Linked DNA regions of Rattus norvegicus. The main gene of each other region encodes a partner of the protein of the gene in region 3 in a complex. Links are inferred from orthologs where the notes say so. Each region holds a gene or a part of one and is shown on either strand. Other genes may lie near its edges.

Region 1 (3,647 bases), on a different chromosome or scaffold from region 3:
GCCAGGCTTACCAGTTTCCTGGATCCACCCAGGGACTGAAATTCTGAGGAAGCCATTCTATTTTATATTAAAAAGTGTTCCAGGATGGCTCAGTGGGTAAAGGCATTTGCCATGCAAGTCTGGCGACCTGAGTTCAATCCCTGGAGCCCATGTAAAGTTGGAAAGGCCGACTTGTCAAGTATGACATGGCACGTTCATGGCATGTAATACCACACATGCTTGCCTACAGTAATAAGTAAAAATTAAGAGCATCCTATTTAATATAAAAAACAAACAATTCACTCAGTCGGTTGTTCTGGTTACTATGGAGAACTTGCTGTACATACCTATGACTGTACTTATTTTAGAGAGGAAAAGTTTCAGTATTTTATAAGATTTCATTAGTATTTAGCCAGTTATACAAAAGACATCTGAAATATAGAAACCAAATAAAACATTATATAAGCCCTTTTGGGGAGCAGGTTTCAAGACAGGGTTTCTCTGTGTAGTCCTGGCTGTCTTGGAACTTTCTCTGTAGACAGCCTGGCTTCAAACTCAGAGATCTGTCTGCCTCTGCCTACTGAGTGCTGGGATTAAAGGCTTGTGCCACCACCGCCCAGCAGTAAGCAATGTAATTAAAGCACATGTACTGATTGACTAATTAATTAATTTTGCAGTACCAAGATCAAACTTAAGAGTTTTGTGTGTGCTGGGTTATTTAATTTTTTTTTAAAGACATGGTCTTGCCATGTGTTCCAAGTTAACGTTGAATTTACCAGTCCTCCTGCCTCAGCCTCCCAAGTGCTGAGATTACAAACATGTTTTAAGGGTTGTTTTCTAAATGTATTAATCACAGTACTAAGGAGGCTAAGAGCCACTCTAACCAAGTTCACAACTTAGCTTTTGAGTCTAAATCTGAAGCCTGCAAAAGGATATGTTAACAGTAACAATATCAGCGATGATTAACATTTACTAAGTCAGTATGTGTCATAGCACTTGGTGTCACTAATCCATTTAACCCTCACACCTGCTGGATTGGATATTATCTGCCTCGGACAGATGAGGGAGCCGAGACTTAGGTTAAATAGCCGGCTTAGGCAAACACATCTAGCAGGCAAAGGCAGACATAATAAAGGCTCATTGTTTCGTCTGTTTTTTGGGCAGGATAATTTCCCCTCAGACTAAGGGAAAAATAATACAGTCAATACAAGCTTTGATATATCTTCCCCTTAGACTATAGTGCTATGTTGTCATGGTTCTCCTTAAGAACTTGTTCCTTGATGGTTATGGGGGTGGAGGAGGATGGGGCAAGAGGATCAGGGGAGGATGCAGGAACGAGACTGTAATGTTTGTTGGCTACTGTAACCAGTTCACTGATTGAATCTTGGTTCACTTACTGTGTGGCATTTGTGATGGCATGGGACCTCATATACCATACAATTTTCTGTCTCTGTGCTCCTCAAGGGACAGACGGTCCCTTGGAGTCTAGCTTGTACAAGTCCAAGTTTATGCAGCCATAGTTCAGTGTTAGTACGCTCTTTTACGCAAACTCACCAGTAGTTTCTTTATATCTTTGTATTATGGGTTAACTACATTTAAGAAATTTCAAAGAATAATTTTAAGAAATTCAGATTATCTAAGTTTTTTTCCTATGCTAGGGATCAAACTCAGGGTTTTGTGGATGCTATGAATGTGCTGTGCCACAACGGGGCACCACCACACCTTTATTCTGAGATAGTGTCTTTCTATGTAGCTCAGGCTAGCCTTGGATTTACCATCCTGTCGTCACTCTGAGTGCTGCTGTTACAAGTGGGATCCACCATACCCAGTTAACAAGTGGCTGTTGAAACGAATGTCAAGCTTCAGACGGGCATTCTGCAAGTAACTGAGATCAGCAGTCCCCCATGTTCAAGCTGTTGCCAGCACAAAACTTATAATTTTAATCATTTGGGTTATATTATCTGATTCTTTTAAGTGTTTGCATTTTTTCTATTGGAAACTCTTTGACATTTCTCATATGTAATTCATATTATACTAAGACACTTCATTCTATTTCTTGTCTTAAAGCATCAATATGTTCTAATGGAAAGGCTATTCCTAGTGAAAGGACTAAAGCCATTGATGCAGTGCGGGCAGGTTAAGGAGTCTGTGTGTACTCCACCTTTCAAGCTTCCCTGAGTGTGCTGTTGCTAGTTTTAATGTCTCCAAGGCAAACTTGAGATTTTGAAACCCTGTGTCACATTATGATTGTCCCCTGACTGAGCCAGTCATTGCAGCAATTGGAAGATGCTATCACCTGGGACCTTGGGGGACAGCCGTGCACACAGTGGAGCACACTGAGGCCCTCATGGACCCAGGGTGCCCTCATAGCATACAATACTGAATACTAAGTAACAGATACTTTAGACCTGGGTTTAGTTCACTTGTGTGGGATTATGGAAAAGGGTAAGCTGAGTTTGAAAACAATCACATTTTTATAATACCAGCATGAAAAATTAAAATTATTTCCTTATTATTGTCGATGGAGGGATGTCAATTGGTAAGATAATACTGAAGAGATCAGTGTCCTTCAGGGCCCTTGGATAGAAGAGCAGTGTCCGGAAGCTTAGCAGAAATTGCTGCAGCTGTCCACCATCTTCAGAGAAACAGCCACAGTGGACCTTTGTCTGCTGTAAATGGGTTCCTCCATTTCATCGAGCTCACCATAACCTGTGTTTCTAGCTTATTTATCAGGGTTGGTTCCTGGTTTCCGCATTCAGATGGTTCTTGGTAAATTTGCCCTAGTCATATCTAATACTCTAGGTATTCTCAAACTGTTAACAAGTGCATGTACAATTTTTCTTTTTGTGGCCAATTTCAAACAGATTTTATTATTTCTTAGTATGGCGCCCAGAATCCATCAGGAGCACCCTTGCCACAACCTACCCAGCCAGCTCCTAAGAATACCTCCATGAGCCCTCGGCAACGTAGAGCCCAGCAACAGAGTCAGAGAAGGTCGTCTGCTTCCCCCGATGTACTCCAAGGCCAGCCACCAAGAGCCAACCACACGGAGCACGGCGGGTCAGCCATGCTGATCATCATCCTGACTTTGGCACTGGCAGCTCTCATCTTCCGACGGATATATCTGGCCAACGAGTACATATTTGACTTTGAGTTATAATGCTGGTCTATGACTTCAGAGCTGTGACTCAGTTGCGTCATTAAACATTCTGCATTGGGTATAACCTAAGGATTGTTTACAAAAGATTATTTTGTATTTACCCTTCGTTACTTTTTTTATTGTTATAAATTCATTGTGCTATAAGTAGACATTCAGGCTGTGGCCCAGCAGTGTGTCGGAAGCCATAGTCCTTGTCTTACTATTTAATCTACTTCACAGACAAGTAACTTACTGCGGTTGCTCACACCCACGCTGCTTTTCTACAGAGCGCAGTGCTTTTCTGTGTGTCCTTTGGCATTCTCAGCTAAGAAGGTGTTTCCATTGAGTGTTATGGCTCCTCAGTCTCGCCTGTGAGTCCTTCTCTAGTTAGACAGTGAGGGAGAAGATGGCGGTGGGGCACACTGCTCACTGTCTTCTTGAGCAGTGTCATTCATAGGAGAGACATGGACGGGGATCGCCCACTCTGTCATCTTTGTACTGGAAACTGTGTGCAGTGAGAATGATTTTA
Region 2 (4,103 bases), on a different chromosome or scaffold from region 3:
CTCCTCCTCCCCCTCCTCCTCCCCTTCTTCTCCCCCTTCCTCCTCCTCCTCTTTCCTTCATTGCCTCCTCAAGACTTTGCTGTTCATAAGCTGGGCTGGGCTCCAACCGTCTATTCTTTTTGCCTCAGCCTGTAATTATAGGCATCCACCTCCACTCTTGGCTCCATTGTCATTTCTTCTTGTTTTGAGACAGAGTCTTGTGTATTTCAGGCTTAGATCCGACTCTGTGTAGCCAAGGACTGCTTGGATTCCAGGTGTACACCAGGATGTTTGGTTCACACTGTGCGGCAGATTGAACACAGGGCTTTGCACACGCTAAACCAGTGTCTGTGTGTATTTGAAAGAGTGTGACTCATCTCGAAGGACGCTCTGGAACTCACTATATGGAGGAGGATGACCTTGAATTATTGATCCTCCTGCCTCTGTGTCACAAGTGCCTGGATTACAAGCATGCACTACCACACTCTCCTTCTTAAGATAATTTTATTGGGGGGTTGGGGATTTAGCTTAGTGGTAGAGTGTTTGCCTAGCAAGCGCAAGGCCCTGGGTTCGGTCCCCAGCTCCAAAAAAAAAAGAAAAGAAAAAAAAGATAATTTTATTGGAGGACAAACTCAGGTTTTGACACAGACTATTTGGCTGCTGGTAATATATTAGCACATATGTGTGTATATGTATATATAAATATGTACATATACGTATATTTGTGTATACATATATGTACATAATTGTATATATAACACATAAATATATGTGCGGATACATATATGTTTATATGAAGAGTCATGCTTCTGTATAGTATGTTTTGCGAAAGATATTAAGTTTCAAAGATATCCCCCACACTCACCATCCGTCTCAATATTCTGCCCAATGGAGGCTCCATACATCGCAAGAGATATACGAAAAAGTAATAAGAAGCTCTATTCCTGACAGCTGGGCGAAGGCAGGGACCAGACAAGAAGCAAAAGAACACAGCCAGTCCACACCTCTCAGGAATAAGGAGCGAGGAGGGGAGGGGCCTAATCTCGTAGCTGATTGGTTGTTGTTCCTGACCAATCAGAAGCAGCTATTGATTTTTACTACCAGTGCGACCCGCCTCCCTGGAGGCTTTGACGCCACGTTTACAAATGAGGATGAGTTACGTAAGAGAGAGCGCCCGGGCAGCCAATGAGAGCTTGAGGCGCTAATAGACGGGTGAGGCCGCTGCCAGGTTTGGGGCGGAAGGAACATCTCTAGCAGAGACGAAGCGGAAGATGGCGGCGGAGGCGCTGCTGTCCAGTCTGTTGGGATTGCTATTTCTGGGGCTCCTGTTACCTGCGCATCTGACGGGCGGTGTCGGGAGCCTGAATTTGGAGGAGCTGAGTGAGATGCGTTATGGCATCCAGATCCTGCCGTTGCCTGTCATGGGAGGGCAGGTGAGGGATGTAGGGCGAGGCGAGGGTCCTGTGCAAGAGGTAGGGGCGCAAGGTGGAGGAGGAAAGGCAGCTGCGCGTCCGGCGCGGGAGACCGGGGGAATGAAGAAGACATGGTGGTGTTTCTACGATCCTGCTGGGAATGGCAGGCAGATCTATCCCCGGGGACCAGGCACCGGCAGGGGTGGGGCTCTCCGCTGTGGACCTCGGGTCCCCAGGTCGCGTTGAAAGGAGCCGGACCCCGCCAGGTGGGGAAGCGAGAGCGCCCTCTCCTCCGCTCAGCCGGGGCTGCTGGAGGACTTGTGGCTTATTCTCTCTTCCACTGGGCACGTCCCCAGGGTCTGAAGAGGGATCTCGTTGTTCTTGGTCCCAGCGTCTGCCTCCCTGCCCCCCTTCCCGACCCTTCTTTCCCAGAGCCAAGCTTCAGACGTGGTGGTTGTGTCTTCAAAGTACAAACAGCGCTATGAGTGCCGCCTACCAGCTGGAGCTATTCACTTCCAGCGTGAAAGGGAGGAGGAGACACCTGCTTACCAGGGGCCCGGGATTCCTGAATTGTTGAGCCCAATGAGAGATGCCCCTTGTCTGCTGAAGGTGAAAGGAACTGGGGTGGGCGGAGTGAAGTCTTGGGAACTGGAATGGGGGGCGGTGGGAGTTAAGGGGCCATTGGTGTACTAGACATTGTTTTCAGACGGAGGAGGGGGAAACAAAGCAAAGACTCTGCTGAGTGTAGGGAAGGGTTACGTTAGAAGATCTCAAAATTGGTTAAACCAAGATGAGAAGAACAGTGATGGGATGGGAAGAGCAGGAGCTTACCCATAAAGTCACCCTCTGCTCCTATTGCTCTTTACCCCGGGATGCCATTGTATTCAAAGAAGTTCACTTAATACTTGAACCTGTGGGAGGGTCCTTCTGAGTGCTTCAAGGATACCATGATTTCTTATCTTTATGGAGGGCAGGGAATGACTTATGCCTGTGATCCTAGGTTGGATCACAGTGCACTGTGGCCCTGTCTTACCCCTTTCCTGACAGACAGACAGACAGACAGACAGACAGACAGGGTGTGGGTGGGAATCAGTTATACTTTAGATGTGCGTCTCTGGCCATGAAAAGAAAACAGCTGTCCCTTCTCTTAGAATCAAGAATGCATGAGGGGAGAGAGAGCAGGAGGTGAGAACTCAGTGACAGGTTATATATCTTGGATCCAGGAGACTGGTTTCACAAGGAGCCGTTTTCGTGCCTCCTGATTGTTCTCTTTCCATTGTCAGACCAAGGACTGGTGGACATATGAATTCTGTTATGGACGCCATATCCAGCAGTACCATATGGAAGGTGAGTAACTCCTACATTCTCCCTAAGCCTTCATGATGCCGTGTGGATGGCGACCCTCCCTCTCAGTCCTCCCTCCTAGGCCTCATAATAGAATAATGTGCTTTACTGTGGCTTCTTTTACAGACTCGGAGATCAAAGGTGACGTCCTCTACCTTGGCTACTACCAGTCAGCCTTCAACTGGGACGATGAAACAGCCAAGGTGACTGGCTGGGGATTGGGGTTGGAATGGGGACTGGCTGAGCTTCAGACAGACAACCCAGGCGACAGGAGGGTCAGACTGAACTGCTATGTTTCTTGGGGTTTGGTACCCATCAAGTCCCCTGGATCAGGTCTTTTGATCCCCGGGTCCCTGTGGGAGAGACCCTTCCTCATGCCCTCATCCTACCTCATGTTTTCTCCAGGCCTCCAAGCAGCATCGGCTGAAACGCTACCACAGCCAGACCTACGGCAATGGGTCCAAATGCGATCTCAATGGGAAGCCCAGAGAAGCTGAAGTTCGGGTAAGTCTTCGAAGAAAACCTTCCCTGAATAACAATAGTCCATCTGTTACTATGGGAGAAGGATGCTTGTGCCCTGAAGTGAACAGTATCTCTTAGGTGTAGAGCCCAGTCTGGGGCTGATGTCTAGCTGCCGGAGTGATATCATTGCATTTGTGGAGGTAATTTAACTCTGCGTTTCCCATAGGCTACCCTCAGTACTTCCAGGCACATTTAAGCCTTTCCAACATTTCTCCTTTCCGTTACCTAAGCTGTAAACGTTAGCGTCTGTCTGTCTTTGACTCTTCTTGCTCTGGGTGTAACATGGAGACATCGGCCTTAACTCTTCCAGCAAAGTGGGAAGCAAACAGGAAGTTCCTGCATGTGAGGAGGGCCTGATATACAAGGGATGCTAACCCAAGAAGTGAGTCTGAAAGAAGCCACAAGTCAGTGGTTCTCAACCTGTGGTCCGAGACCCCACAAGGACCACACATCAGATGCCCTGGATGTCAGATATTTACATTATGACTCATAACAGCAGCAAGATTTCAACTAGAAGAAAATTATCCCATGGCTGAGGGGTGGCCACCACAGCAGGAGGAACTGTGCTAAAGGGTCACAGCGTAGAACCACATCGTAGAACCAAGGATGAGAAGGAGGGAGATAAGGCTAGCTCGCTCAAAGCCCAGCTATCCTCTTAATGGCCTTTTAAAACTGGCTTCAGGGCTGACAGCGTCAGCGCACGCCTTCGATTCCCAGCACTCTGGAGACAGAGGCAGGTGGATCTCTGTGAATGCAAAGGCAGCCTGGTCTACCTAGTGGGTTCCAGGACAGCCTCAAAAACCAAAAGCCTCTCACCAGTTGGGCATGGCAGTATACACCTGTAAT
Region 3 (4,256 bases):
ATTAGTGTCTCATTGAAAATGCTTAGCAAGTGGGAACAGGCATTATCCTAAGACTTGAGGTTTTCAAGTAAATGCCAAACTTTGCATTAGAATGTGCTCAACTCTAAGCAACCCCACTGAAATTGATCACCAACAGTCTGCCTACCACAGGCTCTTTGTACTTTGAAAATGTGTGTGTCTCTGTTTATTACAAATGTATGCCACGCATGTGCAGAAGCTAGAGCTGGAGTTAAAGGCAGCGATGAGCTGCCTGACATGGGAACTGACAAGCAGTGAGTACTCTTAACCACTGAAGCTCTTTGTGCTTTCATGGTAGAGACTTCATAGGCCAATGAGAAGGAAACTAATACATTCCAGGCCCAAGAGAATGGTTAACAAAAAACAAGCCAGGTCTAAAGGCTCCTTTTACCTATTAAAATCTCTTTTGAGACAGTATTTAATTGTACCTCTGGCTGGCCTTGAACTGGGATCTGCCTGCCACTGCCTCCTGGGTGCTGGAATTAAAGGAGTGTACCACCAAAGCCTCACTCCTCTTACCTCTTTCCCATAGATCTTAAACAACATATTGAGGTTCCTCCTTTGTTTCTTCCTTAAAACCAACAAGGGGCTGGTAGTGACAGCTCAGTGGGTAAAGTGCTTTACGAAGAAGGTCAGTCCCTGAGTGGGTCCCAGGACACCTATGTACCTATGTAGCATTGGGATGGGGGAGCAGTGGATTGGGGGACTTGATGGCCAGCCAGTCCAGCTGAAATGTCAAGCTCCAGGTTAAGTGAGAGACCCTACCTCAAAAAACACAGCAGAGAGTAGAAGACACCCAAAGCAGACCTCTTGGCTACACATAAATACACTTTAAAACAATAAATAAGGGAACAAATACAACTGGTACAGATTTCATGGAGACATCTTAGCCTTGGACATCCATCACTCAGAATTACTCATGGGCATGTGCAGAATTTACAAAACAAGATCCCTAAGTAGCAGCCCCAGCTACTTAACAGTGACTGTTCTTAACTTACTTTATCCCACTGAGATGCATGATGCTCAGGACAATGGTCGCTTTTATAAAGAAGAGAATAAAGAAATCCACCATCTCTGCCATAAATCTGTGGGCCAAGGATGGAATGACATACTCTCTACCTGTAAATCGGGAAGAAAAGGGAAAGGAATCTCTCACACAAGCTTAAGAACCAAGTCAGATAATGAAGGGGCAAAGTAAAGTCAAGGTCCAACTTAATTTTTAAAAAATGATAGCCTTGAATCAGCCAACAGCAATGATCCCATCAAGAGAACATGTTCCTAAAATGTCTAATAACGAGCTGGACGTGGCAAGCTATGCCAGTCATCCCAGCATTCCGGGCCCAGGCTCGGCAGAGTGGCTGTAAATTTTCCTACAGTTTGCTAGGACTCATAACTACACAGAATTGATTACTAGATGATATTCAAGGCTTGGGCCCAGTCAAAAGTTCTCATTTATAATGTCAATCGCCTTTCAGTCCCACTGTCCTTATACAGCCCAACTTGGTGATTTCTCGTATTCTAATCTCAATCCTCCAACAGTGCGCTTGCCACCTAAGTTTAGCTTTGGATCTTGTCCAGAGCATGGAGATCACCGAGAGAATGGTTTGATAAGCATACGTCTCTCTATATACAAGAAGGGCTACTAGTGTCAGGATTAAGGGAATCTATTGGTAGTGCCAGGTCTTAAGGGAAGAACAATCAGCATTGTACTTTTTTTTTTTTTTTTTTTTTTTTTTAGAATTTAGGGCCTGGGCAAACCATAGCAGATGTACGTGGGAACTGTCAATGGTAGTAGCAGTTCCCCAGTTACATATTTCAAGATCCTTCGACAGACCCCTTTGGCTAGCACAGGAATGTAGTAAGAGCCTATAGGCTGCACAGAAGTCTTATTGCAAGTTTGAGGCTAGCCTGGCCTATACACTGAGTTAAGGTTAGCCTAGACCACAAGATGAGATCCTTCCAAAAAAAAAATGGTGGTAGGGGTAGCAGTAATTTAAAAAAAGAACCCGCGGGCCACCAGTAATCCTACACATAGGAAGTGGAGGCAGATGAATAAAATCCTCTACTCTATCCCTCCGATGTTCTACGCACCCACCTCAACCCCGTTCTCACCTGCCTGCCGCCCGGTGTCGCTCGCCGTCCGTGCAGGGGCTGCAGAGCCCACCCTGGTCACAGGGACCGCCCGGGCAGATGCCTGCACGTGCGGGGCCCGGGCCGTCAGGCCCGCGACGGCTGTCGGGGTGGCGCCGGCGCTCGTGGCCGCCCCCGGCCCTGGCGCCGCAGCGCTTAGGAAGTAGAAGGGGTTGTAGTAAGCGAGCTGCGGCGGCGGCGGGGGCGGCGGCGGGGCTGCGGGCTGAGGGGCGGCGGGAGGCGGGCCGCAGTAGGCGGGGAGGGCGGCCAGGCCGCTGTGCCAGGTGAGGTAGCCGCAGTAGGATTGCCACAGCCATTCGTGCACCTGCCGCGAGTACTCGCGCGCGCTCAGCCGCCCCGGCCCGTCCGACGCCTCGCAGCCCCCCGGCTCCTGAGGCTCTGCGCCCGTCTCCCGGCGCTTCCGGAGCTCGCACTGCGGCTCCGGCTCCGGCACCGCCGAGGCGACGGTCGTGAGAGCCGGGGGCCGGGGGGCGGCGGCGGAGGAGGAGGAGGGAGAGCCTGGTCCGGAAGGGACCGGCTCGTGGTCCTCGCTACCGCCGTCCTGCCCGGGAGGGCGGCTCCGGGCTTCCTCGGGCCCCTCTGCCATCGTCGCCCCGGAGGCACCCTCCGCGCCGCCTGTCACTGCGCCGTCGCCCGCTCTCGTCAGCCCCTCCCCAACCGCTCGGTCGCCACCACAGCAGCAGCGGGCGTCAACAATCCGTCGCCGGAAGCGGAAACCCCGCCTCTCCGGCGCGTTTGTCTTGGGGGGTCGGGCGGGCGGTGGTGTTTCTTTGTGAGTGGTTCCTAGTTACGCGCCGTCTCTCTGGTTCTTCTGTTGTACGTTTTAATCATAAATTGTGGCATATTCGGTAACGTAACGTATCGCAGCATAGTATAACAACGTGTGCGATGCTGAGTACGAGTTCCTGGACACTGTGTACGCACCCATTTAAGCTACATCTGTGAGACATTCGGCATCACTCTTGAGAATTCTAATGAACTCCCATTACCAAGGCCCCTAGAGAGAATCCTGTGGGCTTAGGACGTGGTTGTCCCTTGTGAAACTGCATCTGATTCACCAGAATTTCCAAGCGGGCCCAGTCCTCCAAGCACAGTGCCTGTTTCTTGCTTATCACCTTTGTGTATGGTTTTTGTCTTTTCATCTATATGCAGCCTCTCAGATACTGATATCTTAATACACTTTGCTACGTTAAATTAATAAGCTCATTAGTGGTATTAGTGTGACTTAGTATTCCCAGGGCTATATAAGGAATCTACAAGAGTCAAATATTGTGATAATACTTAACGATTATTGCGCTGGCTAATTTCATGTCAACTTAATACAGGTTACAGTCATCTGAGAGGAGGGAACCCCAATCGAGAAAATACCTCTTATAAGATTGGACTGTAGGTAAGCCTGCAGATCATTTTTAAAACTGGTGACTGATGTGGGTGGTACAACTGCAGACAGCTGTTCTGGGTTCTATAAGAAGGAAGACTGAGCAAGCCATGGAGACAAGCGATGGGATGTGCAGCAGCTCCTGCCTCCGGGTTCTTCCCATTTGAGTTCCTGTCCTGGCCTCCCTCAGTGATGGAGTACAATGTAGATTTGTAAGCCAAATAAACCCTTTCTTCCCCAGCTTTTGGTCCTGATGTTCACCACACCATTCTCAAACTGCCAAAATGAGTTAGAATTAAACAGCTTATTCTTAGGAGAAAGGACGGGTAATGGGGAACAAGTGTGGCCACTCAGAGAGGAATGCTGCACCTAAGTAAGGGCTTTACCAGCAGCAGCAGGGGAGTGACTTGGGGGAATTTGCCGTGACATTTTTTTTTTTTTAAAAGCACCTGATCTATAAGGTTGGGACAAAAATGTGTGGCTATTGAAGGGGCAATACCTAGACACCTTTGTCTTGAGAAGTTGGTGTTCCTGAGATCTTGCCTCAAAGGAATAAGGCAGAGAGTGATAGGGGAGGGCATGGGAACATGCTTAAACTGGACAGACCTCTCTCCAGGCCCATTGTCCACTTTTTTTTTTTTTCGGAGCTGAGGACCGAACCCAGGGCCTTGCGCTTGCTAGGCAAGCGCTCTACCCCTGAGCTAAATCC

Evidence for each region.
Region 1: Fam8a1 (region 3) and Ube2j1 share a complex: the UniProt entries of both Homo sapiens proteins name them as parts of the HRD1 complex. The link is inferred for Rattus norvegicus from reciprocal best matches to the Homo sapiens genes FAM8A1 and UBE2J1.
Region 2: Fam8a1 (region 3) and Os9 share a complex: the UniProt entries of both Homo sapiens proteins name them as parts of the HRD1 complex. The link is inferred for Rattus norvegicus from reciprocal best matches to the Homo sapiens genes FAM8A1 and OS9.

The regions. Positions count from the first base shown.
Region 1 is NC_086023.1:52,232,307-52,235,953, forward strand, and holds part of Ube2j1 (ubiquitin-conjugating enzyme E2 J1), read left to right. Parts: intron 1-1,732; coding exon of another isoform or gene 1,733-1,860; intron 1,861-2,860; coding exon 2,861-3,139; 3' UTR 3,140-3,647. UniProt on the Homo sapiens protein: Catalyzes the covalent attachment of ubiquitin to other proteins. Functions in the selective degradation of misfolded membrane proteins from the endoplasmic reticulum (ERAD) and is essential for cells to recover from ER stress.
Region 2 is NC_086025.1:64,826,189-64,830,291, reverse strand, and holds the start of Os9 (protein OS-9 precursor), read left to right. Parts: upstream 1-1,221; 5' UTR 1,222-1,250; coding exon 1,251-1,412; intron 1,413-1,823; coding exon 1,824-2,000; intron 2,001-2,674; coding exon 2,675-2,738; intron 2,739-2,861; coding exon 2,862-2,938; intron 2,939-3,140; coding exon 3,141-3,239; intron 3,240-4,103. UniProt on the Homo sapiens protein: Lectin component of the HRD1 complex, which functions in endoplasmic reticulum (ER) quality control and ER-associated degradation (ERAD).
Region 3 is NC_086035.1:18,238,848-18,243,103, forward strand, and holds the start of Fam8a1 (protein FAM8A1), read right to left. Parts: upstream 2,857-4,256; 5' UTR 2,756-2,856; coding exon 2,131-2,755; intron 1,138-2,130; coding exon 1,017-1,137; intron 1-1,016. UniProt on the Homo sapiens protein: Plays a role in the assembly of the HRD1 complex, a complex involved in the ubiquitin-proteasome-dependent process of ER-associated degradation (ERAD).